2 linked regions of the Canis lupus familiaris genome follow. The protein of the gene in region 2 interacts with the protein of the main gene of each other region in a pairwise test. Links are inferred from orthologs where the notes say so. Each region holds a gene or a part of one and is shown on either strand. Other genes may lie near its edges.

Region 1 (4,548 bases), on a different chromosome or scaffold from region 2:
ATATGAAATTAAATTGAAAATGTAAAAGAACCTGGAAATGTTTTGAGCAGAATGCTCTAACTACCAAATAATGTGGCAAGTGTTTCATACCTCCATCATATTTTATCAGTTTAATGCATCTCCCTTTGAAAGAAATGTAGGGTGGGGCAAAGTCAGCTCATGGTATTTCTCTTGAGTTTCCAAATGCCAGTACAAATGTCATGCAAAGGGACCATGACTTACAGCTTAGTGAGCTCTTAATTCCCAATGCAGTCATGCTTCAGAAACTCAGGGGTTCTGGGGACTCTCCTTAGCTGTCCTTTCTTCAGGAGTTATTAAGTGAGCCTAACATTAACAAAGTGATGCCAGCCTCGCAATAGCAGTTTTAGACAGTGATAATTATGATTATGATATAATTATGATAATAGTTTTCATAGCTGTGCTATAGGAGTCAGAGATAAAATATAAAAGAAAGCATTGGATAGTATACATATTCTCAAATATAAAAGAAAGCATTAGATAGTATATATAGCCATCTTTTCTGTAGGAGTGATAGTATTCTATTCATTTACCTGTGCTTGTTCTTGAGGCATTTTGAAGGAGAACACATAGGGCATAACCTGCCAAAAAAGGCATAAAAAATTATACTTGACTTTGTTTTTTGAGAGAGAGAATGAGAGTGCCCAAGCACATGGAGAGGGAGAGAATATCCTTTTTTTTTTTTTTTTTTAAGATTTTATTTATTTATTCATGAGAGACAGAGAGAGAGGGAGAGGGAGAGGGAGAGAGAGAGAGAGAGAGAGAGAGAGAGAGGCAGAGACACAGGCAAAGGGAGAATCAGGCTCCATGCAGGGACCCTGATATGGGACTGGATCCCGGGACTCCAGAATGATGCCCTGGGCTGAAGGCAGGTGCCAAACCGCTGAGCCACCCAGGGATCCCCAGGGAGAGAGTATCTTAGCTGGCTACACCCTCAGCACAGAGTTCCACACATGGACCTCACGACCCTAAGATCAACCTAAGCTGAAATCAAGAGTTGGATGCCTAACTGGCTGAGACACCCAGACACCCCAGTTATATTTGACCTTTTAACATAAAATTCCAGAGCTTTTTCTTACACCTAGCCATACACATTTATAATTTTTATTAAAGACTTTTATGACAACGAAGGTTATCTATTATATGTATATCATTAATGTAAATTGTTTCTTCTTTAAAGATTAAATTTCCCTAATTATCTTTTCTAAGACATATTTTTAACACTTTTGATTTGTGGCTACAATAGAATAGCTGATTTAAATGGTACTTTTCATGTAGAAATCAGAAAAGATAAAGTACTTTCAGTGATGGTAGAACAAATTATGAGAATAAATTTTCTCATTAACTGTTGTCTTATTTCAAAACTGATTCCTACTCATTTTCACATCCAACATGTGTTAATTCTCCCCAGAACAACAGGATGGGAGAGGCCCAACTTACATGATTAGGGCTCTGCTGGGTCTGTGGTGGTGTTTGAGGCTGTGAGGGGTCCTGCTGTCCCACCTGGGTTCCTTGGGCAAAACTAACCCGTCCTGGGAAAGGTGTTTGGTTTGGGAACAGTCCAGCAAACCGATCAAGAGCTGATAAAGAGAATTGCGAGAGCCCTGGAATTTGAGCTTGCTGCTGCTGTTGTAGAATCCCAGAGAAAGGAGGAATCCATGAGTTAAATGGGCCCTGGAAGGACATAACAGAAAGGAAGCATTTATCTTTCATTTCAAAAAGAATTTAAAATCAGTCCTGAGGAAGAAAAATCCAAAATGAAATAATTTCTGTAATCCCATTGCTGCCTTATAAAAAAGGACAGCATCTTAGCGCATATGAGCTGTGCAAATAGCACGAACAATGCTAAATTCCCAGTGGTCATAAAAAATATGGGGCAGAATCAAGTGGATAACGAGTGTGCTTTCTGCAGTTGCCAGACTGGTTTTAAATATATATATTTTTTAACAGCTGAGTATGACTTTGTATAAATAGTTCATTTAACTGTCTCACAGTTGTGAGAATTTGTGCCTGGCACTTAGCAAGTTTTCAATAAATAAATGTTAATCAGATTACAGCGTTTACTTTTGTTTTCAAACAAATGGTCATTAGAATATATGGGATAAATCTATAACCTTAAAAATGGAAATTTCAGAAATGAAATCAGGAAACATTTTGTTCTCTACAAAGTACTGTAAGAAGTAAGCAGTTGACAGATATTCTTAAAATAATTATCAAGGTACCTGAAATGGTAGTGGCTGAAGTTGAGCATTATTAAGATTCAGAAGTAACTGGAAAAGGAAAGATGATATGAAAACAAGATGGTTACACATGCTAAAACTATTAAGAACAAAGTTTACTACAAATATAGAACAAGCCAGGGCTGATCCATCAGTTTCCTGCTAGGGGTATTTTCTCACTAGGCTTGTATAAATTACAGTGATTAGAGATTGGAATTTAACTACCTCTCCCCTGTTGGGTCTGAGATTGCACAACTTCAGCCCATTCCAGTGGTTTAGTCAGTAATTTTTAAGCTGTTAAACACCTCTATACACCTATATTGGGTGCTCTTAGAATAAAAAGATATACGAGACACTGTCTCGGCCTTTAAAGAGTTTACAGTCACATGGGGAGCAAAATAGTATTCCAGAAATAACCTGGTATACCAAATAAACATGAGCACTGGAAATGCATTTGGATGTAAGAGCTAGTGGATAGGAATGCAGGATAAATTAACAAAGGTTTTTTTTTTTTTTTTTTTTTAAAGATTTATTTATTTATTTTAGAGGGAGAGAGAGAGAGTGCTGGCATGAGGGGAGGGAGAGAGAGAAGGGAAGAGAGAATCTCAAGCAGACGCCCCACTGAGAGTGGAGTCTGAGGTGAGGCTTTATCTCATGACCCTGAGATTGTGACCTGAGCTGAAATCAAGAGTTGGATGCTTGCCTTGCTTAACGAACTGAACCACTCAGGCCCCCCTTCCCAGGTTTTAAGATTTATTTATTTGAGAGAGAGAGAGCTAGCGAATAAGTGTTTTTGTCTCTTCTGCACTGGGTTCCCTTAAAAAACAAAAACAAAATGGAGAGATTGTTGTAGGTATTGAAACTAACCTCATTGCTGTTGCTTGCAGACATAAGGCGCTGTGGGATAAGCTAAAAAATAATTAAAAAAATGAGATGGTCAAAGAGGATTTGTTAAAGGTTTCACACGATGATTTTAGTTGTACCATGAAATCACTTACTGGGGCTGACATTGTGGCTCCTAGTAGCCCAAGAAGAATTATGGTTTTCATTTTCAGATGAAATATCTAGAAAATAAGTTGTGAAATTGAGCTTTAAATAGACCCTCTATGTAAAAATCATGGTAACAATAATTCGTTGGTATTGTTCAGTCAGAAGAGTAGTTGAGTGAATTCTATAGTAAATACTTATATATTAGGATTTAAAATTAAAAAGGCAGATTTATAAATATCTGTAACAGAACCTATTCTTTTTCTCAGAGCAGCTGTTTATAAAAACCAGAATTATTTGTTTGTCCTTTTAGCTTGACCAAATGATTCATTTGGTGGTATGTGATATAGTTAAATAAGTTAATGAACAAGATGGCCTCATCCCTTGTGCTGTTCTATAGCTAAGGAAATGGGTTCTTCTGATCATGGGAGGCCCATGACTACAGTCAGTGAAATAGGTCTTTATTATGAAAACAGTTTTAATGTGTATTTAATGTAGTAGTAAAAATACTACAATAAAGATCTGACAATAGCAGTCCAATAACAGATAAAAGTTCATTTAAAAGTCTAATAACATAAAATATATTTAAACTGAGCAACTGAGTCAATATTTTTCTAACTCAGGTAAAGAGATTATAAAATGAAACTGTAATATTGATAAATAGTGCAACCTGTGGAAACATATTATCTTTTGTCCTCCAGATGTAAAAACGCCTATCCTAATTCATATTATCAATCTATATAAGCATTTAGGGTGACCTTGGTGGATTATCCTGCAGAGTTGACTGATTTGGGTTCTTAAAACTATGAAAACAAAGATTTCGATATCTTACCTCAATCCTTTGCCTAAGTAGAGAAATCTAGACCCATGCAAGATCTGCGTTCTTTTAATCTTTCAGCTCTGCTGCTTGAAGCTTCTCTTAAATTTAAAAACCCATCTTTAAAAAAGAATGACCAATCATTTTTCAAAGGGACCAGTGATTCAGTGGGTTTCAGACAATGACTTAGCTAATAACCCCTTTCCTAATCATCTAGGTGGTATAGGGATTCCCACACTTTTAGTAATATCATTACATTATCCTCTGAGAAATGTTTCCCTGTGATCATTCCTGGCTTTTGCTTCAGTTATGACTAAATCCTCTAGAATAATTTAATTCTGCTCCTTTTATTGTCCTTAAAATGAATACAGTAATAGAGTAACTTTTAAGCTTTTATTCAAGGACTAATGGTGGTTTAGCGCCTGCCTTTGGCTCAGGGAGTGATCCTGGGATCTGAGATCGAATGAGTCCTACATGGGTTCCCTGAGAGGAGCCTGCTTCTCCCTC
Region 2 (4,448 bases):
CAAAAGCAAAACCCCAATGAACCCAAATCAAACCAACCCTCCTGTGACCACAGGAAACACCCGCATCCCGCAGACAGGGAGCAGACGACACACTACTGGACATCCAGAAAGAAGCCTTATGGGCCATGGTGTGGGCACTCCCATGTGAGCAGAGTGGAGGCTGGCCTGGGTGGGGGGCAGGGAGGGGGGCCAGGGGCCTGACCGCAGGGTGCTCCATCAGCAGGAACTACCAGGGAGGTACATGCCAGGGGAGGCAGGCCAAGTAGCATGTTGGGGCCCCAACGGACTGGGGGAGAAAGGCTTATCAAAGGAAGTGGGAAGCCAGGGCCACACCAAGAGGCCCAGCAGGCAAAAGAGGGCTGTTTTGGGTCCCTGGGACTGGTGCCACAAGGGCCTGGGAGGACCACGTGGAGGGTAAAGAGTGGCCACTCCTGTGGGCACATGAGAGGGCAGTTTCAGAACATGTGAGTATCTGAGGTGACCCTATCACCCCCGAGAGTGTGGCCAGGTGTCTGGGATGCAGTCACCTTAAAACCCACAGTATTCGTGAGGCCTGACTGCAACTCTGTCTGCCTTCAGTGACTCCCCTTCGTGGTTTTACGGAAAGTTGTGGTGACCAAAACCACTTTAGATCCTAACAGTGCCTCTGGCTTTCCTAGCGGTCTGTTCAGCAGCCAGGCCCTCCCCTTGTGCCCCCACCTCCCCCACAGTCAGGAGGGTCAGGCAGGGCATCCCTACACAGGCTGGCACAGAGCACGTACCCATAAACATTCCTCACTGATTATTTTTGCTATTTCTGGTAGAAGCCTGGGTATTCATCAGTATCTTTTACGCGTATGTTTCAAAAAAAAAGAAAAAAAGAGAGAGAGAGAGAAAACCCATTTATTCACACAGACAATGTGGCCCAGCAGCCACAGCCCGGAGAGCAAGCAGCACTCAGGGCCACCCCTTCCCCGGGGAGGCCCAACACCCACCTGCACCACGGTGATGCTGAGGCGGCCCACTGTGCCCACTGCCCCTCCATACTGCAGCTGCTGGGCTGCCTGTGCGTCCAGCTGCACCTGCTGCTGCGCTGCCGTGGGTGTGATGCGGAGGAAGTCCTGCGGGAGCTCACCAACGTACACCTTCGGGGAGAACACAGGTGCATTAGTGGGGGGCTCAGTCACTGCATCTACGGTGGGAGAGGCCCACGGGGCCAAGGTCTCCAGCCCAAGCACCATGAAACACAACGCTGCCATCCAGCAAGGAGCCCTCTCACTCAATAGATGCAAAAAAGCAAAGCGGGCTTCTGCTCTGCCCACTGACAGCAGGTTCTCAAGCTCAGAACGGCTCCTTGACAGTCTCTTGGGCTGCACTCAGGTGTCACACGCCCTCTGCCTACATGTCCACCATCTGCTTTTCCTGCTGCCACCAGGACAAACCAGGCCTGTGAGCTGCAAGGCACTCATTCAAACCAGCAGTGAGATGAAATCAGAAAGTTGGGTCTCCAGGTACATGGAAGCTCCCCCCGCCCCACCATGCTGACACACTCGAAAACCTCCATCTGAAACAGCTCAAACTCAAAAATAACAGCCCAGAAGACAAAAAGGAAAGACGAGCAACAAGAAGCCCCAAAGACCTCCTCCTCCTGCCTCTTGCTGAATCCCTTGTCCACAAGGCTGCCTGGCTTCTCAAAGAAGGGGTGGAGACGCACTGGAGGGTGGACTGCACAGAGGCCCCCAGGGTTCCAAGAAGCCAGTCTTCCAGGAAAAGGCAGTGGCTAAGGGGAGTGGACTGCCACACGTGGCAGTGGCCCTGGACAAGGCTTCCCCCACACAGATGAGCAGAGAGGGCAGCTGTGTCCCCAGGCCAGCAGAGCGCGGACCCGCAGTGTCTGATGCCCGGACAGCCTGCCCTCCGCTCTTTCCCAGGCAGGGTAGGTTTGGGGTGTGGAGGGCCACAGTGTAAGGACTGACGCAGTCCCACAGGAGGGAGCAGCAGAGCTATGGCGCAGGCCCAGTGCTGCCCACAGGGCTCCCGGGTCTCCTCCACTGCTCCAGAGTACATCACCACAGACTCTGGCCGAGAGCCTTGAAGGAATGTTATTTTCAGGACATGCCAGAGGGAAAAGAAAACCCCCACGAGTCATAGTGAGTTGTGACAAAGTGCATTTACTGACAGTGGCCAACAGAGACTGCTTCAGATATCCAGGTGCCAAATATCCTAAGGCCTCTATAGCTGTGGTTCTGGACCTCCAGATGACACAGATCTGGGAGGATTCCAAAAGGTTCCATACCCGCTGAGCTCACAAGCACCACTGGGAAAGCATTTCTCCATAAGCATCTTGTGCTGTTTCATTTCAAACATCCCTAGAAAGGTCTAGGTTCCTGTCTTCGTGTCCCCATCTCAGGCTGGAGATCGCCCAAGCCAGGCACCGAAACAGGTGGAGACCCACTCGGGTCTCCAGGCCCAGGGGCTGTCTGTCCCCAGCCACTCCCTTCCTTGGCACCCATCAGCTTGGTGCTCCAGCTGCTTCCCTCTGCAAAGCAAGAGCACACTTCTTCCTCTCGGGTTGGGATGTATGGGAGTGACCTCCGCGCCTGGCGAGGAGAGCATCTTGCACCTTCTCCACGTCTGGAGTGGGGCAGCCCCGGTGGGCCCACAGGAGCCCTGAGAACTCATTACAGCCTGAGGGGAAAGCAGGGGCACCCAGGTGGTGCAGGGTTGCCAGGTGAGGAGCGTGCTGCCTCCCTGGGGGCCTCTCAGGCTGCACACCCTCCCAGAGGGCTGAGATGCTGTGGCTGGCCTGGGGGCTACCAGACCCACACCCATCACCAGCTGCTATGGGCAAATGGGAACCGCACTCCCAGCCAGAGCTCTTCCCAGCGGACACGGGGCCAGACGCTGCCATGCCAACTGGTCACAGTCCTCCCAACCTCCACTGGGGCCGCGGCAAGCTTGCCTGTTCCTGTGAATGTAATCTGGCAGACACAGACTCATGTTAACCAAATGCAGAAGATTAGTGCACACAGACCAAATTCTCATTTATTCTGAAAAATAACTACCCACCCATACCACGTACTGCAGTCCTGAGGAGTGAGGAGTGCAGGCAATGGGCTGTGCCCTTGATCCCTTGTCCTGGGATCAAGCCTTGCCATCAGACCCCTCACTCAGTGCTGAGTCTGCTTGGGATTCTCTCTCCCTCTGCACTTCCCCTTGCACTCACTTGTGCTCTCTCAAATAAATCTTAAAAAAAAAAAAATTCAAACATCTAATGTTCAACAAGATCTTAACTATAAACATGGAACGATTTTTACAACAGAAGTTAACTATGCCATGCAAACAAAACACAGAAGGGATAGAAGGTGAGTCCCCTGGCCAGCGCCAGCACTAACAGGCTAGGGGACACTAGGTTCCTGAAAAGGCGCAAGGAGGATAATGTGCCCTGGGGTCTTCTTCTCACCTGAGGAACAAGCTACAAAATCCCTGACTGGCAGTCCTCAGATGGTCAAGGTCCCCCAAAACAGAGGAAGTCTGAGATGGTCCCAGAGTGCAGGTCACTAAGAATCCACTGCCACTCCATGCCATGTAGGGTTCGGGGTGGAACTCCAGGACAGAAGGGACACTGAGGCAAACACAGGGCAGCCAGATAAAACCTGGAGCGAGTAGTCACGTAGCAAAGCCAGGTCTCCAGTTATAATAAACGTCTGTTGGGGATGCACACAAGATACAAACACACTGGAGCTCTCTGAACTGTTCATAACTGTTCCATAACTCTAAAGTTCAAAGTTTATTAGAAAAAAACTTCAACTTAACTAAAAAAAAGAAGAAAGAAGACGGAAACAGCATTTCAGTTCTGACGAAATACCACCCTCTTGGTGATGCAACCAGCACCCCGCTGCCCCGGGAGCTGCCAGACAGGTCTGTCCGCTGCTACAACCCCAGAGACTTGCAACTCGAAGGAGCTCGTCCAAGTGCGCCAGTTCCCACACCTTAAGTCAGTGCTGCTGACAAAGCCAGTCCACGTCAGATGTTACAGAGTCCAGGTGCCAACACAAACCCCACCACCTCAGAGACTGGCCGGGAAAGGGTGTGGTGAACACTTGGCTTACAGACGTAAAGGAAAAATCCAGAGCTAATCCTAAAATTTTTATGTTTGCCATATTATCACAGAGGAAAAGTCTGAATTGTAACATCAGCATACATGCTTTATCCTGGCCCAAAGACCAGAGAAGAATGGTTAATCTTGATTACAGATAAATCGTGAATATTCTAAACTGTTATCTGGCTCACACTTACAAGATGGACACACTGAGTCCAAAACTGGCTGTCAGCTGCACACTGGGCAGGGGGCCCTCTGGGCCTGTCACTGTCCGCACAAGGAGCATCGTCACACATTTCTCCTCGCCGCTGCTCATGGAACTGTTACACCACAGACACTCTGGATAAGTTCATATCCTGTACACCGA

The links.
Region 1: the proteins of TOLLIP (region 2) and ODAM interact in a two-hybrid assay, tested with the Homo sapiens proteins (2 studies listed by BioGRID and IntAct). The two-hybrid records come from large-scale screens. The link is inferred for Canis lupus familiaris from reciprocal best matches to the Homo sapiens genes TOLLIP and ODAM.

Annotation. Positions count from the first base shown.
Region 1 is NC_049234.1:60,647,533-60,652,080, reverse strand, and holds the start of ODAM (odontogenic ameloblast-associated protein precursor), read right to left. Parts: upstream 3,306-4,548; 5' UTR 3,287-3,305; coding exon 3,236-3,286; intron 3,147-3,235; coding exon 3,105-3,146; intron 2,289-3,104; coding exon 2,241-2,288; intron 1,693-2,240; coding exon 1,459-1,692; intron 600-1,458; coding exon 552-599; intron 1-551. UniProt on the Homo sapiens protein: Tooth-associated epithelia protein that probably plays a role in odontogenesis, the complex process that results in the initiation and generation of the tooth. May be incorporated in the enamel matrix at the end of mineralization process.
Region 2 is NC_049239.1:46,015,908-46,020,355, forward strand, and holds part of TOLLIP (toll-interacting protein), read right to left. Parts: intron 1,125-4,448; coding exon 975-1,124; intron 1-974. UniProt on the Homo sapiens protein: Component of the signaling pathway of IL-1 and Toll-like receptors. Inhibits cell activation by microbial products. Recruits IRAK1 to the IL-1 receptor complex. Inhibits IRAK1 phosphorylation and kinase activity.